Mytilus edulis: one gene and its partners. The main gene of each other region encodes a partner of the protein of the gene in region 3 in a complex. Links are inferred from orthologs where the notes say so. Each region holds a gene or a part of one and is shown on either strand. Other genes may lie near its edges.

Evidence for each region.
Region 1: nuclear pore complex protein Nup160-like (region 3) and nuclear pore complex protein Nup54-like share a complex: the UniProt entries of both Drosophila melanogaster proteins name them as parts of the nuclear pore complex. The link is inferred for Mytilus edulis from reciprocal best matches to the Drosophila melanogaster genes Nup160 and Nup54.
Region 2: nuclear pore complex protein Nup160-like (region 3) and nuclear pore complex protein Nup107-like share a complex: the UniProt entries of both Drosophila melanogaster proteins name them as parts of the nuclear pore complex. The link is inferred for Mytilus edulis from reciprocal best matches to the Drosophila melanogaster genes Nup160 and Nup107.
Region 4: nuclear pore complex protein Nup160-like (region 3) and nuclear pore complex protein Nup214-like share a complex: the UniProt entries of both Drosophila melanogaster proteins name them as parts of the nuclear pore complex. The link is inferred for Mytilus edulis from reciprocal best matches to the Drosophila melanogaster genes Nup160 and Nup214.

The regions. Positions count from the first base shown.
Region 1 is NC_092351.1:43,985,772-43,993,615, reverse strand, and holds the start of nuclear pore complex protein Nup54-like, read left to right. Parts: upstream 1-4,824; 5' UTR 4,825-4,901; coding exon 4,902-5,004; intron 5,005-7,844. Other genes in the region: uncharacterized protein, read right to left, coding at 1,301-1,319. UniProt on the Drosophila melanogaster protein: Component of the nuclear pore complex (NPC), a complex required for the trafficking across the nuclear envelope. Essential for the nuclear import of nuclear localization signal (NLS)-containing proteins in an importin alpha/importin beta-dependent manner.
Region 2 is NC_092347.1:43,234,002-43,241,274, reverse strand, and holds the start of nuclear pore complex protein Nup107-like, read left to right. Parts: upstream 1-4,248; 5' UTR 4,249-4,368; intron 4,369-7,273. Other genes in the region: protein BCCIP homolog, read right to left, coding at 3,938-4,063. UniProt on the Drosophila melanogaster protein: Plays a role in nuclear pore complex (NPC) assembly and maintenance. Required for nuclear import of Mad. Mediates the association between the nuclear pore complex and a subset of active chromatin regions adjacent to lamin-associated domains.
Region 3 is NC_092350.1:78,084,038-78,090,987, reverse strand, and holds the start of nuclear pore complex protein Nup160-like, read left to right. Parts: upstream 1-3,946; 5' UTR 3,947-4,049; coding exon 4,050-4,140; intron 4,141-6,950. UniProt on the Drosophila melanogaster protein: Functions as a component of the nuclear pore complex (NPC). Involved in poly(A)+ RNA transport. Required for nuclear import of Mad. May play a role in double strand break DNA repair. Essential for nephrocyte development.
Region 4 is NC_092345.1:2,075,611-2,083,022, forward strand, and holds the start of nuclear pore complex protein Nup214-like, read left to right. Parts: upstream 1-4,408; 5' UTR 4,409-4,496; coding exon 4,497-4,535; intron 4,536-5,203; coding exon 5,204-5,330; intron 5,331-6,564; coding exon 6,565-6,791; intron 6,792-7,412. Other genes in the region: serine/threonine-protein kinase Nek7-like, read right to left, coding at 760-948. UniProt on the Drosophila melanogaster protein: Part of the nuclear pore complex. Serves as a docking site in the receptor-mediated import of substrates across the nuclear pore complex including emb, RanGAP and phosphorylated Mad. Protects mbo/Nup88 from proteasomal degradation at the nuclear pore.

The DNA of each region.
Region 1 (7,844 bases), on a different chromosome or scaffold from region 3:
TTATGTTAAGTCTAGAGGGGGGGATAGGACATTTATCGGGACTCCGGGATCTGGTGTTTTTAAGCTCGGGATTTCGGGATTTACTCCTTCGGGATCCGGGAATTCTTTTTTTTAAATTTCGGGATCCGGGATTTAACTTTATTTAAATTCGAGACCTCGGGATTTCGTGTTTTTAAGCCCGGGATTTCGGGATCAGGACCCCTCCTACCCCCCTCAGTCTAGTAATTCAGTTTCCTCGTTGTGTTTTGTAGATCACACAGGGTGAGTTTTGAATGATGATATTTGTTTGCAGGCATTACAGGATGTATGCATTAGGGTCTGTATGAATGTGTGATCTTTAATTTCTTTATTCTTTAATCATTTCCCTCTCTATTCTTTATTTATTTTGCCATTATTCTTTATATTTGAGCACCCTTTTATTCTCTATTCTTTACTCTTTTCGCTCATCTCTATATTTCAAAGATGTTAATTATACACTTTTTCCCTATTATTCTCCTTTGTGTAAACCTCATCCAAACCCTTATGCACAACTATCGCTGGAACCAAGGAGTCGACATAATGCAACTGTTGTGCTGCACGTCCCTTTTAATTTGGTTTTCGGTTTTTTTTCTTTTACAAATTTACTGCTATAACTAAGAGATTTCCATGATATTGACACTTGCAATCAGAATACTGGGTCATTAAGTATCATAGCAGTTTTTAGTAAACATATATAAATAAGTAAGAAAAAAAGAAATGAAAGAAAGGGAATTATAGCTAAAATTAAGAATGGAAATGGGATCGAATGCGGCAAAGAGATAACAACCCGACCAAAGCGCAAAAAACAAGCGAATGCAACCAATGGGTCTTCAACACAGCTAGAAAATGCTGCGACCGGAGAAGGGCTTCAGCTGGTCCCCAAACAAAATGTGTACAAAGTATTAACTAGTCAAGAGAAAGGGTTGAGTTATTCGACGTGCATTTGTGCTCCAAGATGTGTCTTTTTTTATTGACCTGTTCAACAGCTGTTACGTTGATATGTATAATTCGTTTAAGTGTGCGCTTTAAATCGAGTATTTCAATGCAACGCGTAGAATTATAGGAAGCCAATAGACTTTCAACATCTTACTGTAAATAAATACATGTGTACATGTATTTATAAAATATGAAAAGGATTCAAAAGTATAGTCGATACAAATATAAGAACATGATTGTGGCTCCTATATCATTTAAAGATTATGTATGCACCTTTCCCCTTACTCTATTTTCAAAACGAATATTTCATACATCAGTGAAATGAATTGAAATGAAGATTTCTTACCTGCATGTTTATTGCACATCCATTAGATAAACATAATATGGTTTTTACAACGTCCGCATACGGGAAGTATATATTTGAGTTTCGACCGATTGTGACACATTTAACTTTATGACCAGATGACAGGTAACAACTTTGGGGAAGTATTTTTTATCATTTAAATTTTATAGTTTACTTAGTATTCCGACTACCAAACAAAATGCACTAAGTCTTGAGGTTTTAATTTCAAAAGTGTCCTTTGTTGATTTTTTCAGTTATTAGACCGTAAATACGATATAAAAGAAAGGATGTTATGGGGTTTTTAGGTGGGAAATTATCGTATATCGTACGAGCTTCTTTAAAAAAAAAGTGCAATAATGTTAAATCAAATGCTGTCATGATATCATAGTTTTATTCTTTATTTTCAGCGATTCGTAGACAGAATTAAAGGAAGGAAACATGGAAACAATTAAAAACTTCCTTTTTCAAACATTATATTATTTATAGAATACTATATATTTGTATTTAAATAGATGTAGCGGCTCACTTGTACGCCTGTAGAAATAAACATGAAAATCGCTGATACCACAGGAGAGACCCATATACTACTGTTATAAACCGGTGTCACTTACAGGCGGGTTACCAACAAATGCGTCTAAAGTAAATACGTTGTACAATGAATAATGTACAATGAAATTAGATATACATTACACAATTTCAGCGTTAGAAATTAATACCTCCTAAAGCAAGTCATCTGCCATAAAAGACATAACAGCATTTTATAAGATAACTCAATATTTGAAGTTCACACCAATCTAATTTTACACGCGAATCACAGTGAGCTAAATTTTCTAAAATCGAAATTTTAGCCATGCAGATTTAGTATCGAAAGTTTGAAAGATAATATGAAAAGTAGATGCGGTATGATGAATGAGACACTACGCAGAAATTAAGAACTATCATAGGTCACCGTACGGCCACCAACAATAGAGCTTATAAATATTTCAAGAGTGTGATAATAATAATAATAATAATAATAAATTCTGTATTTAAAGAGGGTAACTTAATTAGAACTAGTCTAATTTTCATTGTGGCCCTCACACAAAAATAAAAATCACTGTTTATAAAATCGGAGTCAAATGAAAATTCTTTACACGTCTTGTCGTCAATAAGTTTGTTTACTGTATGTTATTGAGTTGCAGACTAAGGTGACCACCATACAACGCTTTCCCCTACAATAAAAACAAACTAATTTGTTGGTATGAAAGGCTTTGTCGTTTTTGTCTCGCTCTGCTCATCTCAATTTTTTAAGATTTAATTTCTTAGTTTCAACATGGTCATTAAGGAAAATATAAAGAAAAGAAAAATGGTGAATGGATACGGAGAATGTGTCGAAGCGACAAAAACCCGACCAAAGAGCAGAAAACAGCCGAAAGCCACCAAAGGGTCTTCAACACAGCGAGAAAATCCCACAGCCGGAGTCGTTCTTCAGCTTGCCTCTAAACAAAAATGTGTACTAGTTTAGTGAAAATTGACGTCATACTTAACTCCAAAAAATATAAATGAACTAAAATTATAAAAAAAAATCTAACAAGACTAACAAAGTCAAGAGACTCCTGACTCACGACGGGCAAACAACGGCGAGGTTAAACATGTTTAATGAAATCTCAACCCGGGCTCCCCTTATACCTCTAGCCAACGTAGAAAAAAACACAGTAATTCGCAAAGAACTCAATTTATGAAAGTCCGATTCTGATGGCAGATTAGGTAACAAAAGAAACAAACCAAAAAACAATGGTTTATGAATCATAAATCAACAAAAGACTACTAGCAGTTACTGACATGTCAGCTCCAGACCTCAATTAAACTGATTGAAAGATTATGTATGTCTTTATCATATGAAAATCAAGCACAATCCTTCGATCCCGTTAGAGGTTTAGTATCATAACGTCATACAATATATGAGAAAATGTATCCCGTATCATGTCAACAATTGGTTTTAGAATGAATGTGTATATTTCCGACGCAAGGACCCTTTGAGTGAATCAATATTAAAACCAAACTATGCCATCTTTAATGACCTGGCAATAGTATCGTAACTATATCCCTCCTGAATCAGTCTATTGAAAGGTTTAGTTAGCTTTTGCCATTTTGGGGTTGATGTCAACATTGTTGTGCTTTATAGAGAATATTACAATAAGAAATTTGATGTAAAATACCTGAACACATAAGATATCTGCATGTTGATTTATCATTTACGAATTATGTCCTTACATGTGTACCAATGATAACATTTAGTAAATCTTTTGACTAGTTTGTGATATCGAAAACCCTTGTGTAATAATTTTTCATTAATACAGTGATTTCTTTCATTAAACATGTTAAAATCAAATACGTTGTTTTAAACACCGATCCCCCCTATATATATAGGGGAGAGGGGGAATCTGAGACAAGTGCCTGTGGTTCATTGTTAGTATTAACTTAATTTAAAGTCAACTCAGTTAGATGTGTCTTAATAAAATTGTCATTATTGAGATCAAATATATTTAGTATGACGTCCATTTTCACCGAACTAGGCTAGTACACATTTTAATTGAAGGGCTAGCTGAGACTCACCGCATTATTTTTTTTTTATCAAATAAATATTGTTGGGGCCGGTGTTGAAATTCTAATATCTTTCAAGGGAGGCTTTAGGTACATTTTTTTTCATGTTTACAACATGTACAAGTGGGAAATAAGAAAAAAAGAGAAGTTCTTATGTTCACTCTACCCAATCAAAAAAAAGTAGGCCTAATTACTAGTCTGTAAGTACGAATCCGAGATTTTGATACCCCACTTTCGATTTTCATATACAATTCAACAAGTCAAAGGTGTAGACAAAAGTTTAAGAAATCTGTGACATAGCCCATTTGTCATAACTTGAACTTAAGATATATATAACAGGGTTTTAAATTGATTTTAGAATTCAATATGAACAATATATAATTTGAATTAACAAACTATTTTAAAAATTAATAATTGATAGTCATATTTATTATTAAAATACCAATAAAGTATAGTCATTTATAATTTAATCAGTGTGTTAATATATATGAATTATTATTTTTACCTGAGATTACCTGTAAAATGAATGCGCGCAAATGTAATCAAAAGCTGCGCGCAAACATAAAATATTTTAATCCCCAAATGCGCGCAAACGTAGTGCGCCCCTTCAGAACCAATTGTGTCTATACTAGTATATAACATGGGAACAGTATATATCTATTAATAATATATGTTCCTGTTCGTGTCTCTTTTAGTTCATTAGTTTGTAAACTAATCATTTAAGTATTTGATTTTAATACAGCAAGGCTATAATTATGAAAACTTGAAAGTACCAATAATTTTCTTAAGAACAAAGAGACGTTGAGCAATCACTTTCGATTGATAAAGTCGCTAAATTATATCTTCCAGTCGAAAATTGTCGCTAAATTATTCTTCTTGTCACTTCTTGTCGCTGAAATCCTTCTTGTCGCTAATTAGTGTAACCGAAGTAATCTGTTTAGGGGAGATAACTATTTTGCTCTCCAGTCAGGAGGAAAGAAACGCGGGAATGGAAATTTAGAAATTTAGGAATAGAAAAAGTATGGCATTTTTTGGAGGAGCAGCGACGACTCCTTTTGGAACAACAGCTACTACATCTACTTCAACAGGATTTGGAGGATTCGGCACACAAACTCAAAGCACAGGTATCATTATATTAATTATGGATTATCAGATAAAACTGCGTAAATTATTTTAGTCTGAAATTATTTGTGTCACAGGCCACTTGTTTCTATCTATGGGAAGACCCACTATCAACGTATATTTACGTAAATTTGGTACTTTCAAAGAGTCGTATCAAAAAAGAGGTGCACCATAATATGATTTTTTTCCTGTAAAGTTGTAAAGTCAATAATTTAAACTCGTATTTTGAGTTTTATATGAATTAATCAGTATTTTTCTCAAAATCATTAAAAATTAAAATTGCATTCAAGTCTCAAATGACAGAATCCTAATAATAAATGCACACAATAATTTCTGAATTTACAGTAAATTTAATCAATACTTTCACTTTACTTTCTCTTTCAATTGCTATTTATAACGTACATATAGCAGGGGTTCAAATTAGCGGTGGACCTTCCACTATTGCAATCAGACTTTCGTTATTGTTACAAGCTACGCTCAACAGACCTTCGATTTGAAAGAATATAAAAATTAACTTTGCCGACCTTTTTAACCAAAATTTCCAGACAATCTCAAAATTTATTTTTATCTTTATAAATTATGACAGCGATGTTCATTTTGTTCAACCGCTAGTTTTATACCGAAAATCGCCAACAAGTAATGTGTAAATCCGAGTAAAATCGTATTTGACTGACATAAACAACATTGAAAATCAATGCATGCCATAAACCGGAAGTGAAGACAATTACAATACCGGATCAGATTCCGGTGACGGATAAGTGTAACTCCGAATTTGCCGATCAAATACATTAAAAAAATAATAATTCCAGGCAGGTGACAAAATACATCTTTTATGATGAAATATAAATACTAGAATTGAAAACCAAAAGATATATTGAAAAGAAAGTGAAAGAAGGAAAATATTTTTATACAGAAACTCAAAATTACTTTTAGTTCACAAATTTTCGTGTCAAAATCCAATAAAATGTGACAGTAATTTTCTTCATCATTACTAAATGTTGATATTACATGTAGATGTTTTTATAGTGTGAACATATTACTACAATTCCAAGAGGTAATTTCTTTTCAATTTTGAAGGCCAGTAAAATCTCAGGAAGTTTTTTACTTTATTTTCACAGATGACTATAATAGTGCAACTAGATGTGACACACTTAAACAGCTTTGAATTTGAACTTTAATTGTATTCTCGGGTATGAATTGAACAATATAAAAAGGAGATGCATATGGTCCTTTATATTATAGTGAAAACTACAAGACAACACACCCACCAACAGTGACACCCTCCCCAATACAAAAAAAAAAGGATTATGTGAATTCATATACAAGACAATTACATTTATTATTAAACATGTTATACAACAGTGACACTAACAATTAAACAAGCTAACCCAACACCAAAAGCACATTAATTTTGTATCTTACTGAGTTATGAAATATTTCAAGTGAAAGTAGGACCTGTAATTTAGGTTGTGGACCTTTCAGTTTGGAGTGTCAAAGGTCCTGGACCTTCTAGTACCAAATGTTAATTTGAACCCCTGCGTAGTCCAAATAATTATGACGTCTTGCAAGGCTATTTTAATTTTTTTCTGGGATGCCTTCCTACAACATCATAGGACAGTCAGGGGACTTACTGTAAAAATCACTTATTTGAGTAGCAAATTCGAGGTCTTGTCACAAATTGGGATTTTGTAGTTTTTTTTAAATTTTAAACATATAGGTTTAAATAGCATCTTTCAATTAGTAAAAATTAAAAAATATGAACTTTTTGCTTCTGTTAAGTAGCAAGGTTTATGCCTTTGATGCTATCATTCTGAAAATTCTATTTTAGTTGAAAAAATGCTATAATAATGGCTTTACATAATGAACTGATACTTTCTTAAAAGATTTTTCACAGCAGTGGGAGTATTTTTCCTGTGAAGTTCAAGGTTTCATCTTTCAGATTATGTAATAAAATTCTACTGTTCGCTGTTCGCGATAAAAATTTCACTGTTCGGGGGTGTTGAAATTAGTGGGGGTTATTAAAAGAATGATACTTAAAGAAGTGATTTTTGGGAAGGAAATTGAGGTCTGATACTTAAACAAGTGATTTTTATGTCATTATCCTAGATTCAGTACAAGGTCATCACCTGAAATGACCTGGTCATCCTAGACAACACAGATGACTGATGTTGGTTCTGATAAATTTAGAAACATAATTTAAGGCCCTGGATCATTAGTATTCTATATTTAAAGCTACACTAATATTAAATCACTTCTTCTAGTGATTAATTTGTACTACTTAAATAGGTGATTATTAGAGAAAGACAACTCTAACTTCGAACCTTTATGGAAATAATGTTACTTGAATCAGTGATTTAGAAAATCACTTGTTTAAGTAAGTCCCCTGACTGTAGGACAACCCAGAAAAAATTAAAATAGCCTTGCCAGACGTCATAATTATTTGGACTTTTTATAACGTTACTTTGACTCATCATCATGACCTAGTCCAAATAATTATGACATTTTAAAGGCTATTAAATGTTTTTTCTTTGACGCCTTACATCGACAATTATTTGTCACATGACTTTATAGCAAATCATTTCACATTTACGAAGTGTTCTTCATAACTATATGTTCAGGTTTAACAAAAAATCGTTTTAATGAAATTTTATACATTTTGTCATTGCAAAATGATGTACATTTGTATTTTAAAAGATTTCTCAGATCGTTTTTTAAATATTGATCTTTGAACTTTGAGGTATTTGTTCATTGAATTTTCAGTAGCCACCGTCTTGTTTGATATGGAAACCATTTTACACAACTGGGATGTTCTTTAACATGTTTAAAAAGATACTTCTGAGTT
Region 2 (7,273 bases), on a different chromosome or scaffold from region 3:
TCGACTAAAGTCAAAGGCTCGACAAAAAGTGCAATTGAAGATTTCTTGCTATTGCGCAATACTGTGCAATTGAAAATTTCTTGCTATTGCACAATACTGTGCAATTGAAGATTTCTTGCTATTGCTGAATACTGTGCAATTGAAAATTTCTTGCTATTGCACAATACTTAATATACATGATATAATAATTTTGGATCCTGATTTGGACCAACTTGAAAACTGGGCCCATAATCAAAAATCTAAGTACATGTTTAGATTCAGCATATCAAAGAAGCCCAAGAATTCAATTTTTGTTAAAATCAAACTTAGTTTAATTTTGGACCCTTTGGACTTTAATGTAGACCATTTGAAAACGGGACCAAAAATTAAGAATCTACATACACAGTTAGATTTGGCATATCAAAGAACCCCAATTATTCAATTTTTGAAGAAATCAAACAAAAGTTTAATTTAGGACCCCAAAAACAAAGAATAATGCTTATTTGGGCCCTTTTTTGGCCCCTAATTCCTAAACAGTTGGAACCAAAACTCCCAAAATCAATCCCAACCTTCCTTTTGTGGTCATAAACCTTGTGTCAAAATTTCATAGATTTCTATTTACTTAAACTAAAGTTATAGTGTGAAAACAAAGAAAATGCTTATTTGGGTCCTTTTTGGCCCCTAATTCCTAAACTGTTGGGACCAAAACTTCCAAAATCAATCCCAACCTTCCTGTTGTGGTCATAAACCTTTTGTTTAAATTTCATAGATTTCTATATACTTAAAACTAAAGTTATAGTGCGAAAACCAAAAGTCTTAGGACTATGACGACGACGACACCAACTAGATACAAATTTACGACCAAATTTTTTTTTAGTTTTTGCAGTCGTATAAAAATATTTATTTTGACCCCTTTTGGGCCCCTTGTTACTAAACTATTAAAACCAAAAACCCCAAAATCAATCCCAACCTTCCTTTAGTGGTAATAAAGCTTATGTTAAAATTTTATTGATTTCTATTTACTTTTACTAAAGTTATTATCCGGAAACCATCCGTCTTCGGTCGACAACAACGTGATACCAATATATGACCACAATTTTATAATATTTGCGATCGTATACAAATAATTAAACACTAGAGAAGTATTTCTCATTTCTGTGATAGAGACCCTTTGTGGAACTCTTCTGAACTTTTCGGGGTTGATTTGTCAACATTAAATTGTTCCACCTTACATATGTTACAGAAGTTCAGGAAACTTTGTTAAAACAATGACATAACATTTTACCTGTTACTTTTTCTTTGAGTACATTTCATGAATAAAGTATTACTGTACATTCATTATTATTCATTGGTTACCAATTTTCGTGGATTTCCTGGGTATTGGTGAACCACACAATTAAATATTCAACGGATGACAAGTTTTCTAAAAGCTTGTATGAAGACTCTGTCAAAACCCTGAGCTTAAATGTTTACAAACATGCGTTTTTCTTCATCCACGAAAATTGTTATCTATGAAAATAAATGTATCTAGAGTATACCATCTATATGACATAATTTTTAGACAATTCAAATTCTTGCACACTAGAATTTAGAAAAGTATCCTTTATTCGATGTCAGGCAGGGAAGGGGATGGGTTATTTGCATTAATTGCAGCATGGCTGATGCAGTGTTATAATGTCTGAAGTTGATGCAGGAAGTAACGGCCAAACTGCCATGACGTCCCTAGGACGAAACGGACATACCCCGAAAATATGAAACGGCCATACCCCGAAAAGATGAAACGGCCATAGTACAAAAACGGCCATACTATGTAAAGACGTATCGTCCATGTTTTAATTTTTTTTTTAAATGTGATGTTATATATGAAATATTTTCAAATTGATACTTATAGATGGTTATTATAACTTTTTAATAAACTATACTGTTTTTACATTATTTATCATGTTTAATTTTGTTATATCATTTGTTTACGCATTATGTATATCATATAGGAATGTGTTTAATCTAATAACATATTAAAATATCATATTGTTTTCCAAATGATTTTATGATATCTTGCGTATAACTAACAGAACAAAATGCACAAATATGATTCGAATGACTTTATCCGAATGGGAGACTTATTTCTGTCAAAATTATCAGTCAGAGCTCAGACATAAACAAGTCGATTTTTGTTTTTGACTTAAAGAAGTCAAAACATGTATTTATTATAAAAATGTGTTTTCAATTTTAGACTTATCTAAGTCAGAAAATGACAGACTTGTTTAGGTCTATTTATGTTGATAAAAAAAACTTAATTGTACAAATGTACTTAGTGGCCAAAGTACACCACCTATGGCAGCAAAAACCTGTCTGAGAGTTCACAAGGACTTGAGCTATCTATATTCAATTATCTAATTGAACATCCTTACTAAACACAGATGTTTTACCTCATTAAGTGTGGTTCCAGGTGGTTGCATTGTAAGATTAATTAACATTATTTTCGATTTTTTAGACTCTCATTCATATTTTTCTTTAGAAGACAAAGCATTGCCTTTCAATGTTGTCATTATTTGATTTAGATGCATGACCTTTTCATAAATATGCGTGGGACTTGGAAGTTAACCAATTTTGAGAACTTATCGACTTGTAGGAGTCAATATTTGCAACTTTTTGATCCTGGTCAATTATTTCTTGCTTAACAATATTTAACTTATTAAAGTCGTATTTTGTCTTGCATTAAAGGGAAACATATCTCAAAACTACAACTTTAGACCTCTATGAGTCAAAAGCAGATTGAGACTTATTTATGTCTGAGCTCTGACTGACTATAACTATAAGAAATGTCAGCCATGTAGTTTAGAGGAATAATAAACAACTGAAGAAGGTCAATGGCCGAAACGTCTTGAACAATTGGTTTATTTATACAATTATAAAAGGTATGTTCCCTATTGGAATTTTGAAAACAAGGATATAACTATAAGATTCAGTAGTTATGAAATGTAAAACAAAGTAATCAAGTAATGATTAAGTTTTGAATTTAAGAAGATAGTTAATTGCTTATTATTACTTCTTTGATGAACACAAGCATTAATTATGCTTTTGTAAAGAAATTTTGTTAAGAGAGCCGTGGTGTAGTGGTTAGTGCATCGGACTACTAACACAAAGGTTCCTGGTTCGATTCCAATCTGGGATGAAAATTTTGACACCATTTGCGAGTATGGTCTTGAGGAAACGATGATAGTCCGTCGGACGGGGACCATAAATAAGAGAGAGCCATATCTCTTGCACGTTAAAGACACCCTTGTAGATTTCGAAAAAGAGCAGGCTAATGCCGCTACAAGGCAGCACTCGCACCCGCAAAGTGGAAAGGGATTAACATAAGTTGCAAAACTTGTTTCCCAATCCACTATAAATAAATATGCTTAAACTAAACTAAAGAAATTCAAAAAGAAATACTGTTCAAGATCTCTATAAAAACACAGCACCCAAGCTGAGTTCAAGCGGAGTGCAAACATACATTGATTGGGTAGTGAAATGCTGTTCGAGCAGTCTAAAAAGTAACACAGGCTTTGCAATATTTTATCATTATATTCTATGTTTATATAACCTCAATAATTTTGTGTGGCCGATGTGGCGGTATGGCCGACAAATCCTATGGCCGTTATGGAAGTATGGCCGACCCGTCTCGAAAGCTCTGAAGTACATGTCACCATACTATATCAAGTTACTAATTAATTTTTTTTTCAAATGTACTCAATTTAATTATTGATAATTTATATAAAAAAAAAAAGAAAAAAAAACTGTTATAAATAATCCAGAAGTCAACATTATTAAAACAGTTGCGGATACGAGTAGCCTAATGAGAATTAAAAAAGAGCAAACAAAAACGTGGGTAAAGGGGGGTAACTCTTTTTCAAGAGAACGTCCTTTCAGTATGTTCATATTGTTTATTTGGTTGACAGGGTTATTTTCTTACTTCATTAACTTCACCATCACTACTGTCATCATCATCCATGTCACTTGACCCTTCTTCATCATCGGCGACATCGTCGGCCTGCATTTTTTCTTCAAGTTGCACAACACGTTTCTTCTTCGAAGCCATTTTATAAAGTCTTTAAGAATCTTGTGCAAAACGAAACTAATTAAATCGTTAAAATTATTGATAAAATCTTTTATTATTTGTTGAATTTCACTAGATTTATGGAGTTAAAGAAGAATTCTACAATATTTAAAAAAATCAATTCAATCTTTTATGTTAAAATTTAAAAGTAAAGTTCATTCGTTTTCATTGAAAAGTTTAAAAAGTGATTACCTCCCTTGATTTTATGGCAGCGCGAATGAAAAATAGATTTTTTTCCCTGAGAAATATAGTATGCGATCACATTAAGCACAGAAGCTGTCATAGAAGTATATATGAGATCTAGCTGTATATTGTTTTCTATTTTAACTGTACACAAAGTACATCATGCATGTAAAAAAAATTCTTACACAAAATACAAAATCCGAAATTATAAAAGAGGGATATGGTGTCACGGAATAGAAGTTCCTTCATAATATAAGTTCCAAAAGGAAAAAATATTGTGGAAAATAATTTCCACAGGAATAAATATTACAGTATATGTTCCTAACAGAATAAATGGTATATAATATTTCTTCCAACAGGAATAGATATTATGACAATGTTTATAACAAAGTTTCCATTGGAACTTCTGTTAGGCGGAACAAATATACGTTGACAATGGGGCATAGCCATAGGGGAATATCGTGTGGGGCATATGTGAGCCAAAATTTGTCCCTGTAAAAAAGATCTAGTTGAACTAATATCATAGGAAATATGATCAGGGATATGATTTCTATATAAATTCGTTACATATATATATAAATATAGGAAGACTTGTTATGAGTGCCAATGCGACAACTCTCCATCCAAGTAACCATTTATAAAATTAAACCATTTAAGGTCAAGGTACAGGCCTTCAACACAGAGCTTTGGCTCACACCGAACAGCAAGGTATAAAGGGCCCCCTAAATTACTAGTGTAAAACCATTCAAACAGGAAAACCAAAGGTCTAATCTATAAAAAAAAATGAGAAACAATTATGAACCACATAAACAGACAACAACGACTGAACATCAGATTCCTGACTTACTAAAGGGGCAAACAATTGCAGCGGTATTAAACGTTTTAATGGTACCAAACCGTCTCAATCTCTATATCCTACCCTAGTCTATAATCGGTCATCTTGTTGGTTCATTCAGACTTTTATATTGTATTTATCACACAGGAAAACTGCATTGACGTCACTACGCTTATACCAGCGTTATAAACAAGTGCAGAATATGTTTTTTCTACTCTTCCAAATTAAAACAAACATTTCTAAATATATGTTGTCGGTGTTATTCTAAAGTATTGTACAAAAATGCCAATTTTCTAAAGGCTGTTTCAAACCTGACTTCCAAATGCTTAAAAACAATTCAGAACTTCAGAAAATCCCACTTCTTGCCTCCATTGCTTTGTGTACAATCGGTCCTTGATTTTAGTCATTGTTGTTAGTCATGTTAGTGGCAGACAAAACAGGCCAAGCAAATATTATGAATAGTATTTTTAAGAATTTGAAAATGACAAGCACTTTATATTACGTCTTACACGATTTTCTCCCCCCCCCTTGAAAAAAACCATCAAAATGAAAGAAAAACATGAGGAAAAAACAATTTTCATGTCATAATTTTGTTCAAGAATATAGAGAAGGTTATAAAAAACAATAAACATATAAACATCGTCCACACTTCGGACAATAACTCAAAAACACTTTCACCAATTTCCATGAAACTTAAGTGAATTGTTTATATCTATTGACGTAAGCTCCCTTTCAATTTTTATAAATTTCAGATTTTAAGTTTTGGATTTATGGGGCTTTATTCATAAAAAAGGGGGGATTTTAAACACTTCGGACAATAACTCAAAAAGGCTTTCACCAATGTCCATGAAACTTTGGTGAATTGTTTATATCTATTGATGTAAGCTCCCTTTCAATTTTTATACATTTCAGATTTTAAGTTTTGGATTTATGGGGCTTTATTCATAAAAAAAGGGGGATTTTCAACACTTCGGACAATAACTCAAAAAGGCTTTCACCAATGTCCATGAAACTTTAGTGAATTGTTTATATCTATTTATGTAAGCTCCCTTTCAATTTTTATAAATTTCAGTTTTAAAGTTTTGGATTTATGGGGCTTTATTCATAAAAAAAAGGGGGATTTTCAACACTTCGGACAATAACTCAAAAAGGCTTTCACCAATGTCCATGAAACTTTGGTGAATTGTTTATATCTATTGATGTAAGCTCCCTTTCAATTTTTATAAATTTCAGATTTTAAGTTTTGGATTTATGGGGCTTTATTCATAAAAAAGGGGGGATTTTCAACACTTCGGACAATAACTCAAAAAGGCTTTCACCAATGTCCATGAAACTTTGGTGAATTGTTTATATCTATTGATGTAAGCTCCCTTTCAATTTTTATAAATTTCAGATTTTAAGTTTTGGATTTATGGGGCTTTATTCATAAAAAAAGGGGTATTTTCAACACTTCGGGCAATAACTCAAAAAGGCTTTCACCAATGTCCATGAAACCTGAGTGAATTGTTTATATCTATTGATGTAAGCTCCCTTTCAATTTTTATAAATTTCAGATTTTAAGTTTTGGATTTATGGGGCTTTATTCATAAAAAAAGGGGGATTTTCAACACTTCGGACAATAACTCAAAAAGGCTTTCACCAATGTCCATGAAACTTTGGTGAATTGTTTATATCTATTGATGTAAGCTCCCTTTCAATTTTTATAAATTTCAGATTTTACATTTCCGTGTTATGAATTTTTATGCTTAAAAAAGGGGGGATTTTCCAATTTTGGGACAATAACAAACACTTTCACAAAATTTTATGCAACTTTGATAAATTGTTTATATCTATTGATGTAAGCTCCCTTTCAATTTTTATAAATTTCAGATTTTACATTTCCGTGTTATGAATTTTTATGCTTAAAAAAGGGGGGATTTTCCAATTTTGGGACAATAACAAACACTTTCACAAAATTTTATGCAACTTTGATAAATTGTTTATATCTATTGACATAAGCTCCCTTTCCATTTTTATAAATTTTATATTTTACGTTTTCTTAAGTAATGAATTTTTATACTAAAAAAAGGGGGATTTTATGAAACTTTGGTGAATATATTAATGTAACATCCCTTTTGATTTGTATATATATTTCTAGTTGATCATATAAATTCATTTAAAGCATAAAAGACAAG
Region 3 (6,950 bases):
GCGTCATAATATGTACTTGGCAGATAGCATAGCCTAATGTAAACGCTGCAGAAACTCACAAAAGTACCATTTATTATTCCAAATGAAATTTTTATATCTTAAATTTTATCAACTGATGTAAATAAACACAGTTAAATGACCATGGCTGCACTTTTGATCAATTTGTAGCCCATGCAAATAAATTAGACATAAATAAAATACAGGATATAAACTATAAACAAGAAAAGAGTTCATTCTCAAAAAATATTAAAAAAGAACTAAAAGATAGCTTTGAAAATATTTTCTTTGAAAAATTAAAATTAACTAATGAAACCAGTAAAATATTCGTGTAGTCGTAAAATAAAAAGAAAATATGAAATAGACAAATACAAATACATTTCTAAAAATAGTTTTGAAAATAGAAAATTATTATGTAAAATGCGAGTAAGTGACCATTTCTTGGAAATAGAGAGGGGTAGATATAAAAGAATTCAAAGAGAAAATAGAATATGTAAACATTGTAATATAAATGCGGTTGAAGATGAAACCCACTTTTTCTTAAAATGTATACACGAAGATGCTCAAGTGATAACACCATACTATGCTGAATGAGTATGTGTAAATGCTAACAATGTAAGCATCAATAAAGATATATTCTTGGACTTCTTTATCATGTTCTGTATAACCATTTAGATTCTACCACCTTTATCTACACTCCGTCCGTATTGTGGTATTTGGCTGCATATTCCAATTTTTGTTTGTCATGCAATTTAAATGCGAGTAAGTGACCATTTCTTGGAAATAGAGAGGGGTAGATATAAAAGAATTCAAAGAGAAAATAGAATATGTAAACATTGTAATATAAATTAATAAATTAATAAATCTTTACGTAATCAGCTTGAAAAAGATATAAATAATATATGTCCAGAATTCTTTTAATTGTCTGGAACAGATAGATTACAATTAATTCTATCTTCATTTGATATTATGCAACTTACTGTTCCGTTCATTAAAAAGTCATTTGCACTGAGGGGAGTGGACACGACGCCTGCATAAATATTACTGTTTTACCACTTTATATATGATGTTTAATATGTTCATTTTTCCATTGTGTATATTGTATTGTATTGTTTGTATGTATGCCTTCAATCCCCAGGGGTATAAATGTGCATTTCATGAATAAATAAAATAAAAAAAATACAAAATACAAATATTTTTATTGGCACAAACTCATTAACAATAAATGGTTAAGACCTATGGCATTACATATATATGTCGTGTACAAGTTGCGATTTTGTACAGGTTATAACATGTACAAAAATATTGTACATGTTATAACTTGTATAATGCAAAAATACAAGTTATAACATGTACAAAAGTACCTCGTACATGTTATAACCTGTACAAAATATTGCTTAAAAATGGTTTTAACTTGTACAAAATCGAAAAATAAGGATATATTCTATTATCGCAACAGATGTTATTAACCTCAATAATATTTTCATAACGTTTTTATTATTCCTTCATGTTAGTGTGTTTTGTCCTTTTTTGATACAGTTAATGTCCAGTGGTCGGTATTACGAAGCATTCCTAAGACTTGTCATAAGATATATCTTAGGACATGTCTTATGATCCTCTTATGACTATCTATGGACATATCTTAGGACATGTCTTATGATCCTCTTATGACTATCTATGGACATATCTTAGGACATGTTATAACCTGTACAAAATCGCAACTTGTACACGACATATATACAACTATACTGAATAATTGACATGGTAGAATGAAAGGTTCCATGATAACATATCATGCTAAATTATGAAAAGTTACAAAATGATGTATCATATAAGTTCACTATTTCTTATATTTAGACACTCTGATATGAAAGAGGAAGACAGTCTAAGTAATAATGCTGAGCTATTATTGACCAAAAGAGATATTTTTTCATCAGCGGTAATGTTACGCTGTATTTGAAATATAACATTTATTTTATTTTCAAATATTTCTCGCTTTGAGGTATATCTATTACATTATCATAAGAAATGTTGTTCATCCTCAATTTCCCCATTTTTACAGACAGGACAGTGTCTTTCCTCTCTAGGAACATTTAAAAGATGTCTTCCCCTTTCAATCATTAAAGGATGTGCACTTATGCGTATTTTGCATATTGCTGCTCTATCATTTAAATTGTTTAGTGAATCAACATATGATGGTCTTTGACCCATTTTGTAGACTTGACGAAAGAAACTGAGCTTAGAAGACTCCTGTGTGTTTGCATTTTGATTTTGCAAGCACTGATCATAAATTCTCTGTTTTACTTGTCCCAAGTGCTGCTTTGTTAGACAACTTTTTTTCAACAAGATATGAATATCCTAATTTTTGTAAAATGCACTGAGTTTTTAGGATCCAGGGGTTTGAAAATCTTGTTGCACAGAAAATTTGATTTACAAGTGTATTTTCTGATGAAAGTATATGCTCTAGAAAATTTATGCTTGAAAAAACAATTTTATTTTTGAGTGGAATTCTACCAAGCTCAGCACGACAAGCATCATTTGAAGCCTTGCAATGAACACCAAGTGCTTCTTTAATAAATTTAATGTGTAATTTTTCAAAGGGATCAGAGCCATTAATGATGAGTTAACACCCCAAATTTCAGAACAGTACATCAGTATAGGTGAATACCGTGATATTAATGTATCGAACAATTTTTCAAGTAGTCTACATGGATTATTCAGACCCACAGTTTTCTTAATTTTGAAATAGGCCTTTCTTGCCTTTTCCATAAGAGTATTATTTATGGCTAAATTGAAATTACCATTACATTTTATTACAATACCTCAGGGAGCTACCATTTGATTTTTATGGGGGGGGGGGGGGGGGGCTAGGATCTGAGACTACTATAACAGTTAGTCTCAGCTAGGATGAAATTTGAAAAAAATAGGCAGGACAGGAGTTTTAAGTAAAAAAAAAAGGCAGGATGAGACAATTGCAAAAAAAAAAGTCAGGACAACAATTTAGGTAAAAAAAAGGTCAGGATAAACTAAAAAAAAAAAGGCAGGACCGAACTGAGTGAAAAATAAAAAGGCAGGACAGAGATTACAGCTAAAAAAAATGCAGGACAAAATTTTTCATCCTAGCCCCCCCCCCCCCCCTAAAAATCAAATGGTAGCTCCCTAAATAAGAATAATGACTTTAACAGTTTCAATACAAGAATCATTGTAAGTAAATTCGTCCAAAAATGTTTTACCATTTGAATTAAATACAATGACTTATCTGTAGTTTCTGTAGTTTCTGTAGTTTCCAACAATCACAATAATCATATAAAGCATTAAGACTATTTTGTAGTCCTTTTTTACTTTGAGACAATAAAACAATATCATCTGCATATAAAAGAAGAATATTTAAAGAAACATAAAGGGGGCCCGGGGGGGGGGGGGGGGTGCTGCTGACTAACCTAAGGGGGTCCCGCTCCAGTCATGCTTCAGTGAATCGTCCTATATAATCAGACCCCCGCCTATGGGTGTTAGTCCATTAACAATTTCATAGGTTAGAATTTATGTGTTGTTTATTTGACTTATCAATCAAAATAAAGTTTTCTTAATATCTGATCTTAAAGCTGAGAAATTGAAAATGTTATGTTGAATATTATATAGCTAGTGATTTTGAATCGGTGATCTGACACCTACATAGTAAGTAAGTAAGTAAGTATTTTATATTGGTTTGAAATCCAAAATTATGCCTAAGCCTAACTTCTAATGGCCTAACTCGCGGGAAATTGAGAAAGCGAAATTGAACTCATAAAGACATTCCCGTCCAGCAAACGCAAAGGTCAACGACTGTAGCCAACGTACACACCACGGGGAATACATTTATATTTTTTATTTTTTATATTTTCAAACTAAGTATATATAGACATATAGACTTATCGAAAACCCTATTCTTTACGAAGTGCTCCTGTGAAGGAGGGATTTCCTAATACAGATACAGAATCGCCCTATTGGGGCGAAATGAATCTTAGTGCGAACGACAATCGGGGCGAAGTCACCTGAATACGGATGATAAAAGAATGGCGGAAAGCATGAGTGGATGTACATACCGGGAAATTTCAATTTCATCTAGTGTGGGAACAAGATGGAAAGAAATAAACGTCAACACAGGTATGTAGTTGACGTATTGCAAACGGGATTGTCTTTTACACTAGTTGCCATTTCATGCATTTAGAACGGCTTCTTTTTATATCACCTGGCATAGATCTAACATTTATTTTCGCTTTACTTCTTCTACCGGTTACACTGGGGTAAAGCTGATGACCGTCCTTCTTCTTCTTTATATACAGAAAAACATCAACTGGTTGATGATTACTTTCCGGCGCATGCCTGGTTTAACAATATTGTTAATGATTAAAATATATATTTTTGGTTTCTTATAATTTTTCAATTTTTATGATACAAATGTATATGTAACTGTAAGTAATATTTTTCAATTTTTATTTTTAATTTTTGGTATAAGATAAAAACAAGATACATATTATACATGTAGGTGTTTGTAAGTGTCAAGGAGCATCTCTCTAGTGAGTTTCTCCTTGAAGCACTCAGTAGTGGTGCTGCAGGCTATTGGTTCTGGTAATTTGTTCCAGTCTTTTATAGTTTGGCAGAAAAATGAAAATTTGTAACTGTCTTTGCTGCATCGAATTTGTCGGTATGTTTGTTCGTGGCTAGACCTGGTGTTTGATTGGCTTTTAATTAATATGTCAGTATATGTGGTATGGCAATTTTGTTGTTTGTTATTCTATGGAACATATTTAATCTGCTTTTGAGTCTCCTTTCTTGTAATGTTGGCCAGTGGAGTGTGTTAATCATGTTTGTTACACTTTCAGTATATTTGTAGTTTGAGCATACATATCTCGCTGCACGTCTTTGAACTTTTTCTATGGAGTTAATGTTCTCTGTTGTGTAGGGGTCCCAGACAGTGCAGCAGTATTCAAGTTTTGGTCTAATAAGGGCTTGTATGCTCGGTCTTTGATGGTTACTGAGTTTATTTTAAGTTTCTTCTGGTGAATCCAAGGGTCTTATTTGCTTTAGATGTCATGTTCTGAATGTGTTTGTTCCATTTTAAATTTGATGAAATAGTTATACCTAAATATTTTGCATTTTCAACTGACTCAAGAATGTGACCGTGCATGTTGTAATAAAAATGGATAGGTGTTTTCTTTGTGGTCACTCTAAGTATGTTGCATTTATCAGGATGGAACTGCATTAGCCAGTCTTGTTCCCATTTGATTGCTCCTTCTAGGTCTTCCTGGAGTTTAGGCAATCTGATGGTGATTTTATCTGTCGGTAAATGATGCTATCGTCAGCAAAGAGCCTGATTTGACTATGATGTAAGTAGTCAGGTAAGTCATTGATATATATCAAAAATAGTATTGGACCTAATACAGTGCCCTGAGGAACACCTGATGTAACTGGTATGTTATCAGAGGAATGGTTTTCTAGCATAATTGTTTGTGTACGGTTTGAAAGGAAAGATTTTATCCAGTTTGCGGCTTGATCTGATACACCGAAAAATTTAAGTTTATATAGTAAACGGTTGTGTGGAACTTTGTCAAAGGCTTTTGCGAAATCCATGATGATAAGATCGGTTTGTATATTTTTGTCGTTATTTGAACATAGTTGGTGAATTAGTGATATTATTTGGGATTCGCATGATCTATTTGCCCTGAAGCCGTGTTGCAAGTCATAAAGTATGTTGTTGGATTCAAGGTGTTTCATAATGTTGCTTGCAATTATGTTGCTCTAGTAATTTGCATGAAATACATGTAAGTGAAATTGGACGATAGTTACCAGGATGATGTTTGTCTCCTTTTTTGAAACAGGTGTTACATTTGCGTGGTTCCAATCGTGAGGTACTTTTCCTGTTTGCATTGATTTTGTAAAAATTAGAGTGAGTATGTCTGTGCATGTGTTGATGTTTTCTTTAAGCACTTTTCAGTGATGTTATCAGGTCCTGTTGCCTTTTTTGGGTTTATATTTTTAATTAATTTATAGATGCCTTCTCTGTTGATGTCTATGTCGTCCATTATTGGATGTGTTGATGGACCTTTGTCAGGGATAACTGTATTGGTCTCAGATGTAAAAGCTGATTTAAATTGTTCATTTAATATGTTAGCTTTTTTCAAGGGATCTGTATGAAGTAGACCTTCACTCCTAAGAGGTGCAATACCAGTGTTTTCATTGTTTTGGCCTTTTATGTATGAAAAGAGTTTTTTAGGTTTGTTTGTTAAATCTCGAATTTTCAGGCTCTTGTATTTCAATGTCAAAAATCATGTTTTCGATATAATTCCAATAGGCATTTCTCATCTCTTTCTGTAATTGTGTTTTAATTTGTTTAAATTTTTTAGTATGTTTGCTATCATGTTTTTTCTTTTTATAAAATTTGTTTTTCTTATTTATCAGTTTTTTCAATTTTGAGTCTATCCATGGTAGGTGGGTTTTATTTCCTATTAGCTTAGTTGGTATATGCTTTTGGATACTTTCTGTTGTTTTTGTTTTAAAGAAATTCCACATATTGTCTATATCAAGTTCTAATTTGTGTTTTTCCATATGTGTGTATGTTTCTTTTAAGTCTTTTCCAATTTTTTCCCAGTCTGCTTTCTTGTAAATCAATACTTTGTGTGGTGACTGTTTGGCTTTCGAAAGGGAAAGATTTATTTCACTGAAGATAATGTCATGGTCACCTAGTGGTGGTAATGTTTCTACTCTGTTTAGTAGGGATGGATTTGACATGCACAGTAGATCAAGTGTGCGTTCATTTCTTGTTGGTTTGTCAACTACCTGTGTGAGATTGTGATCTTGTAATATATCTAAAAGGTGTTGATGAAGAGAAGGATCTGGTTTGCTAGGTATTACTGATGAATTTGACCAGTCAATATTGCCTAAATTGAAATCGCCACTGAGCATGATATTTGCAC
Region 4 (7,412 bases), on a different chromosome or scaffold from region 3:
AACAGTAACAGTTCAATCACATGTTTACTTCAACATTATCATATAAGTTGAAAACAAATTGTATTTAGGATTCTAAAATGTGTAGTTCATTGATGATACAATCGTCATATAGTATAACTAAAACTAAACATGCTCAAAGATGTATTATGTGTAACTTATTTTCAAATCATTCATTTATTAGTTTATCATCATGATCATGCAGTGTTAATTGAATTAATTTGAAAGGGATATAAACTGTCAGTCTTGATTAGATAAATGTCAGAAACCTGCTGGTTGTAGTTTGTTACTGTCTGTTATTTATGTTTTCCTGTAAATCATGTACATGTATATTGTTTGCCATGAATCTTAGATCTTGCCAATGGTTTCATATTTTGTCATGTTGAGGATTTTAACAAAGACCATACTGTATTATTCTGCTCACTATTGAAGGTTTGTACAGTAACCTATATTTGATTACATCCACACCTTTTGGACACAGGTGGATAGCTGTCTCATTGGCAATCATTCCACATTTTCTTATTTTCATGCTTTTCTCTCCACATCAATACAATTTTGGGCTGTTTGAGCTTTTTGGATGGGTTGTTGTCTCTTTGACATGTTTGACCAAAACCTAGTATTCATTTTCTATCCCAATCTACTAACAGTTTAATCACCAGTGGCTCTTTACATATAAAAATTGTATGACTGAATTGTACAAGTATTTTTTTTGAAAGATTTTTTGTGAAATGAGTGTCAGTTCTACATTTTATAAATATTTACCTGAACTTTCTTCAATGCTACAACACTGCCATCTATTTTATTAATAGCTCTATATACTTCAGAAAACTGTCCCTTTCCTATCTTTTTATCTATTTTAAAATTAGCAAGGCAGCCATATTTACTGTCCTGTTCATCAGTAGGGGAGGGGTTTCCTTCTAAGTCCATTGGCTCCATACCCCCGGCAGCCATATTGGTAGCCTTTAACCTAATGAGAAATGAACTAAATATTGTAACATACAATGTACAGTGACCTACATGTATAGTTATTAATGTCTGTGTCATTTTGGTCTCTTGTGGACAGTTGTCTCATTGGCATCATACCCTTTTTAAAAATGTATGTTTACATTAAATTGCCGTAATCAATATTTTTAGAAAGAATTACAAGTTCTTCTTTCGTCAAATTGCTGTCATCACTAATTTTCAGAAAGAATTTAACTTCATTCATCAAATTCAGTCCATTTACTTTTAATCAGCAAGCACCAAAAATTACTATTAAATTATCAAATTATTGCATTAACATGATTAATGTCATATCGCGCATTTGGCAAAATAATTTACTGTTATAAATTCGTCCCCCATTACAACCATAGAGGATACACTTATCACTATTTGTCGGCCATTACTGGGTATCACAAAAGTTCCCTTAAAATTCTGACATCATAAAAGAAAATATCTGACGCCACAATGGAAAAGTGATTGTAGTATGACGTCAAAATTCAAGTGGGCCAGATTCTTGGGTCAAACGCTGAAGCGGGAACAGCGATACGGTCTATACACCTTAATGCTAATACCAGCTGCGACGCATACAACAATCACTTTTCCATTGTGGCATCAGATAGTTTGTTTTATGAACCTGTGTAATATCCAGTAATCAACAGACATATATATATAGCGATAAGGTGTACCTATTGATAGAGCAGTTGATTATTACTCTTTCAATTGAACAAGAGATTGGTTGAGGGCATCCAGTACCAGTGTATTTTATGCTGGAAAGAACATTTTTTTTTATTATAATATACATGTATCTGTATAAATTTATCTGATTGGTTGTTGTTGTTTGATCTGGTACCAGGTAGGAAAATGTGGAAAAATTTCAACAGAGTATTCATAGATGAAGTACAATTAACTGCCGCATTCTATCGATAACAAAAGAATGGTTTACCTTGTTTACCTTCCGTTCTAGTTTTTTTTGTACCGAATAGTATAGGAATTTAATGGAAGTGTTTGGTGCGCATGAGTTAATTTTTCCTGACAACGTCATTCGGTTATCCTCTCGATTTTAGTTCAAAATAAACGAAAACATCGAAGAAATTAAATCAAAATCTTTTGTACGTTTTAGACAAATTGCGAAATAATGAGATATTAAAGATTAAATTTCAAATCAAATCAAATCAAATATGTTTATTGGATAATCAATATATATGTACAGTGCACAATTGATGTCTTCCACACAATGAACAGATATTAAAACAATTAATACAAAATAAATGCATATACATTAGAAATAATATCTGGACAGAGCTAATATAAGTTGTAAAACATTAATATAGTTCAAAAGCTTTTTCAATAAAAGTACAGATAGCTTTTGTATCAATTTTATTTAAAGGATACATAATGTTATGTAGAATAGTAGATTCCTTTTCCCTTTTATTTAAATCCGAGGGGTCGATATTTAATTTTTTGAAGAGATCTTGTCTTAAAATTGAAAACTTTTTACAGTATAAAATGAAGTGTTTTTCATCATCTAATAAATCACAAGTCTGACAAAGTCTTGAGTTATGCGGAATTTTTGGTCTATGATAACGACCTTTTTCTATTAAAAGAGAATGTGCACTAATTCTTAACTTAGTCAAATTTTTACATAGTGCTTTTGGAATATTAAAGTCAAGATATTTTTGAAGAGAAAAATTTGTGTAACAAAATGAAAAATATTTAAGCTTTGAGTCAGAATTGTAATTAGAATAATTTTGAAGCTGTTCTTTAATTAGTTGGATGGTTTGATCGTGTATTTTCAATTCTAGATTTTCATTTTCCAAATTCTTTACATCCAATTTAAATTTTTTGCAACTATAATCAATAAATGAATACCATGATTTTGACCCCTCTTTGAAAAGTCCTCTATCTACTTTATACACTTCAGCAAGAAATCTATCAGATGGAAGTTGTTGCAGTCTTATGAAATATTTAAAAGCCAATTTAGTAATAAAATTAATAATTGGTAATCTTCCTAATCACACCTGGAGGCTAAATTTGATGCCTTTTTATGTACTCCAAGTAGATATTTACAAAATTTATTATGTATTTTTTCAAATGGTATATTATCTTTATTTAAATCTTTTAAAGTAAAATCGGATATCCAAACTTCTGATCCATAGGTTGTAATAGGTCTAATTAGAGAATCAAATAACTTTAGCTTAAGCTTGGTACCAGAGTAATTATAATCTAGAATATTTGATTTAAGACTAAATACTGCTTTAAGAGCTTTATTATACATATGTTCTGCGGCATGCTTTAAATTGCCATTAAATGAAATCAGCATTCCAAGATATTTATATTTATCGACTGTTTCTATATTTTGACCATTAATTTTAAATTTGATGGCAGATTTTTTCTTGCCCTTACTAAAAATCATAACTTTAGTTTTAGTAATATTGACTTTCAACTTCCATCTGTTACAATATATTCCCAGGCTGTCCAGACAAGCTTGTAAACCCTTTTCACTCTCTGACAGTAGAATTAAATCATCTGCATATTGTAAACAATTAAATTGTGTTGTAATGAGTGACACAGGAAATGTTTTTGAAAAATCAAATATTTTTGGCAGATCATTAGTGTATATATTAAATAACAGAGGGCTAAGACCATCACCTTGTCTAACACCCCTATTGGCTCTATGAGCTTCTGAAATAAAGTTTTCTTTTTTTACCACAAACTTTGAATTAGAGTACATATGTTTAATTATCTTATAGAAATTTCCTCCAATTTTAAGATTTAATAGTTTTTTAAGTAATCCTGAGTGCCAAACAGAGTCAAAAGCTTTAGAGAGATCTACAAAACAAGCAAAAATAGGCTTTTTTAATTTGTGTAAATATTTATTTATCAAAGTTTTAATAGTGAAAATATGATCTGCAGTTCTATAATCTGGTCTGAATCCTGCTTGAAAGGGATTATAAAGATTATTTTCTTCCATATATTTATGCAGTCTTTTCTGTAATAATGAGGTGAAAAGCTTGCCAAGACAGCTGGTAAGGCTAATACATCTATAATTATCGCATATGTTTATGTCACCATTTTTGTGTAAGAAGGAAGTACAAGATAAATTCCAAGCATCTGGAAATTTTCCGCTTGATAAAATTCTGTTAAATAAATTAACAATAGGTAAAAGTAATAGGTCTTTTCCATATAAAAGGAATTCATTATATATAAGGTCTATTCCTGGTTGTTTATTCTTCTTAAGTTTTTTAATGCCATCTCTGACTTCTTTACAAATGAATGCATAATCTAAATGTTTATTATTAATATTTTCAATTTCTATCTTCGAGATATCTAAATCAGTATTATTTTCTTCATAAAGCTTTTTTAAGTAATTTGACATTTCAGATAGAGGTATAGGATTTTCTTCTCTATTTGTATTTTTCTTCAGATTATTAAAATTTAACATTGAACGAAATTTTGCAATATTTACAATTTGGGGCCAAATTTTGCAATATTTAAAAGCGAAAGTTTAGATTTAGATTATGGCAACAGCTGACGAACCTCCGGAAAGAGACGTGAAGGTATGTTGTGTTTGTAATGTGTAATAGTAGGCAGGTGTTACAATGTCGAAGAAATGACTATTTTGAAACTCATTTTTATAAAATTTTTGCAACAAAAAACAGTATAGACCTACTTTACATTGCATACCTGCCAACTTTTCAAAATGCCCATGGGTGTTTTACGTGCAAAATGGCTCTCCAAGTCCTACACAACCTGTAAAGGGGCCTTCAAATTTATTTTAATGATGTTTATTTGCTTCCTCATACTTGCATGCATACTGTATACAATCCTATACCAATGATTAATTGTTTGATTTGTTTTAAATTTTGGACAAAATTGCTCTTTCAAAATTTCAAATTGGAAGCCTCTAAAGGGGGAAACCCTCGCAAATAGTGACAGTTGGCAGGAATACAGTCTATGATTTTTGGAAACAAGACTTATATATGTTTTTAAGTTTAAACACACTTTCTTGTTCAAAATGACAAATGGGATAGACACAAGTTTTTCAACTAAGTATTGTCTTCTCCAATTATAGTTTATAGGTCAGGGAGCCAGTGCGGCCATGTAATAAAGTTATTTTAAGTTTTACTTCTATTTGATATTGAATCATATGTTGTTGTATTTATAAAGACTTCAGATAAATGGAAAACAGATCACATATTAATTGTCCATTAATTTGTTTAATCAGGATTTCAGATATCAGCAGCTATGCAGGTTTCAGATAGATGATGGCAATTCACCAGTAAGGGGGAAGAGTCCTCAGTTAGTTGCAGCTTCCTCAAAATATGGAGTAGTCTTTGTTGGTACAAGTAACGGTAAGTCATTTGGGGAAAAAAAGCAGTTCAGGGTTCAATGCCAGACATATTTTTAGAAGACCTGCCTGGTAGAAGAGGTAAATAAATAAATAAGCTTTATTTAGAGTCGGCAATGTATACAAACATAAACAACATAAGCTCTAATGAGCTTTTAACTGACATACAAGACATTTATAACAATACAACATTTAAAACAATACAACACATAATACACAAGCAATAAATTACGCAGCACAAAATGAAGGACTAAAAGCATAGTGGTAATAAGCAGAATATAAGCATGCTAAGCTAAGTATTAAAGCTAAAAGCATATAAGTGTAAACTATACATGATTAAAAAGCTGGTAAAAATGCATAGCATTAAATATTTAAAAAAAGATGTATGATCTAAACAATGGTAAATAATTTTCATGATTTTAGCATAATTTTAGGATAAAATCTGCACAAACTGTAAACTGTAAATGTAATGCATGAATATGATTAATAGTAATTGAACCAATGAAAGGCTAAAATCTCTATTGCATTGCAGTCTTATCTAATTTTTGTTGAGCCTTAGACTTTTGTCGAAAAAGCGAGACATAGCGATCCTACATTATGGCGTCTACGTCATTGTTGTTGTTGTCAGTAGCGTCCACAAATATTCACTAGATGACTGATGTGGTTAAAGTTTTTAAAATTTAAATAACTTTCTTAAACTCTCCTGAATTTGTACCAAATTTGGACAGAAGCTTGTGTATAATCATGATCATATGATAGTATCCAGAAATAAATTTTGTAAAAAAAAATGCCATTTTTTCCCGTATTTTACTAATAAATGGACAATAATGGACTTAGTTTTTCTGCCAGGAAACATTACATGTACATTCACTCTGTGGTTTAAGTTTTTAAAATTTTAATAACTTTCTTAAACTATCTGGGATTTGTACCAAATTTGGACAGAAGCTTGTTTATGATAAAATGCTAGTATCTAGTAGGAAATGTTGTTAAAATTTTGTTCCTGTTTCAGTATTTTACCTGTAAATGGACTTAGTTTTTCTTCCAGTTAACATTACATCCAGTCTGCAGTTAAAGTTTTTAAAATATTTATTAGATTCATAAACTACACTGAATTTTAACTAAACTTGGACAGAAGCTTCTTACAATCAAAAGATAGTCATGATAGTATCGAGAAAGATATTTTGATTAATTTTTTCCTCATTTTTGGTGAGCCTATGTTCTATTCATCATATTTGTAGGATTTAAAGTGATACAGACATCTGAACTGAGTAGAATTGATAGAGAACATGCTAAAGACAGAACAAAAATAATTGTGAAAGAATATCCTTGCCAGGCGTCAATAGAGTTATCTGCCCCTCCATCATTGTTGGCACTTAGTTGTGACAGTCTTAGCTTGGCTGTGGTTGTAGAAAGTGCAGATTTGTCACAAGTCTACATATATGATACTAGAAGTTTTGTCAGTCAGGTAAATTATATAGACATAAAGTCTTTATTCATAGGTTTGATTAAAGAGAATTTCTCCAGAGAGAGCCAGTATCTGTTTTTTTTTCCATGGAGCTGATGTATTCTTGCATTGTTAACCCTTAGTATCCTTTAAAAGTGTTTTTCTAGGTACAAACTCATAGATTTGATTTTTTTCTAATAAACATGATAAATACTACACAATGCACTAGTTTCTTTTTCTGTGTATTTCAAGCAATTAAACATAATTTCAAATAACAAGAGTTGTGATCAGAAGCTGCATACCACCAACATTTTAAAAAGGACTGGCAAAATTTTTGAATTTATGGTATTTTGCAACAGAAATAACAATAAGTACCACCAGATTTTCTCCAATGACATACATCAAAAAATGTTTTAATAACTCTTAAATAATATTGATGAGTATTAAACATGGTTAGTTGGAGTGGTATTTAGCTCAGAATTTGGTGGTTAGTGGAATAATAAATTTTTAAAAAAATGTTTGAAGATATCTATTTGTTATGTTGCAATATTTTAAATGAATTTATACTGCACTCGTTCTATTTGAGCAGTCAAAATGCGTTGACTGTATATTTCTATGCCATATACAGTCACTGACCTGATA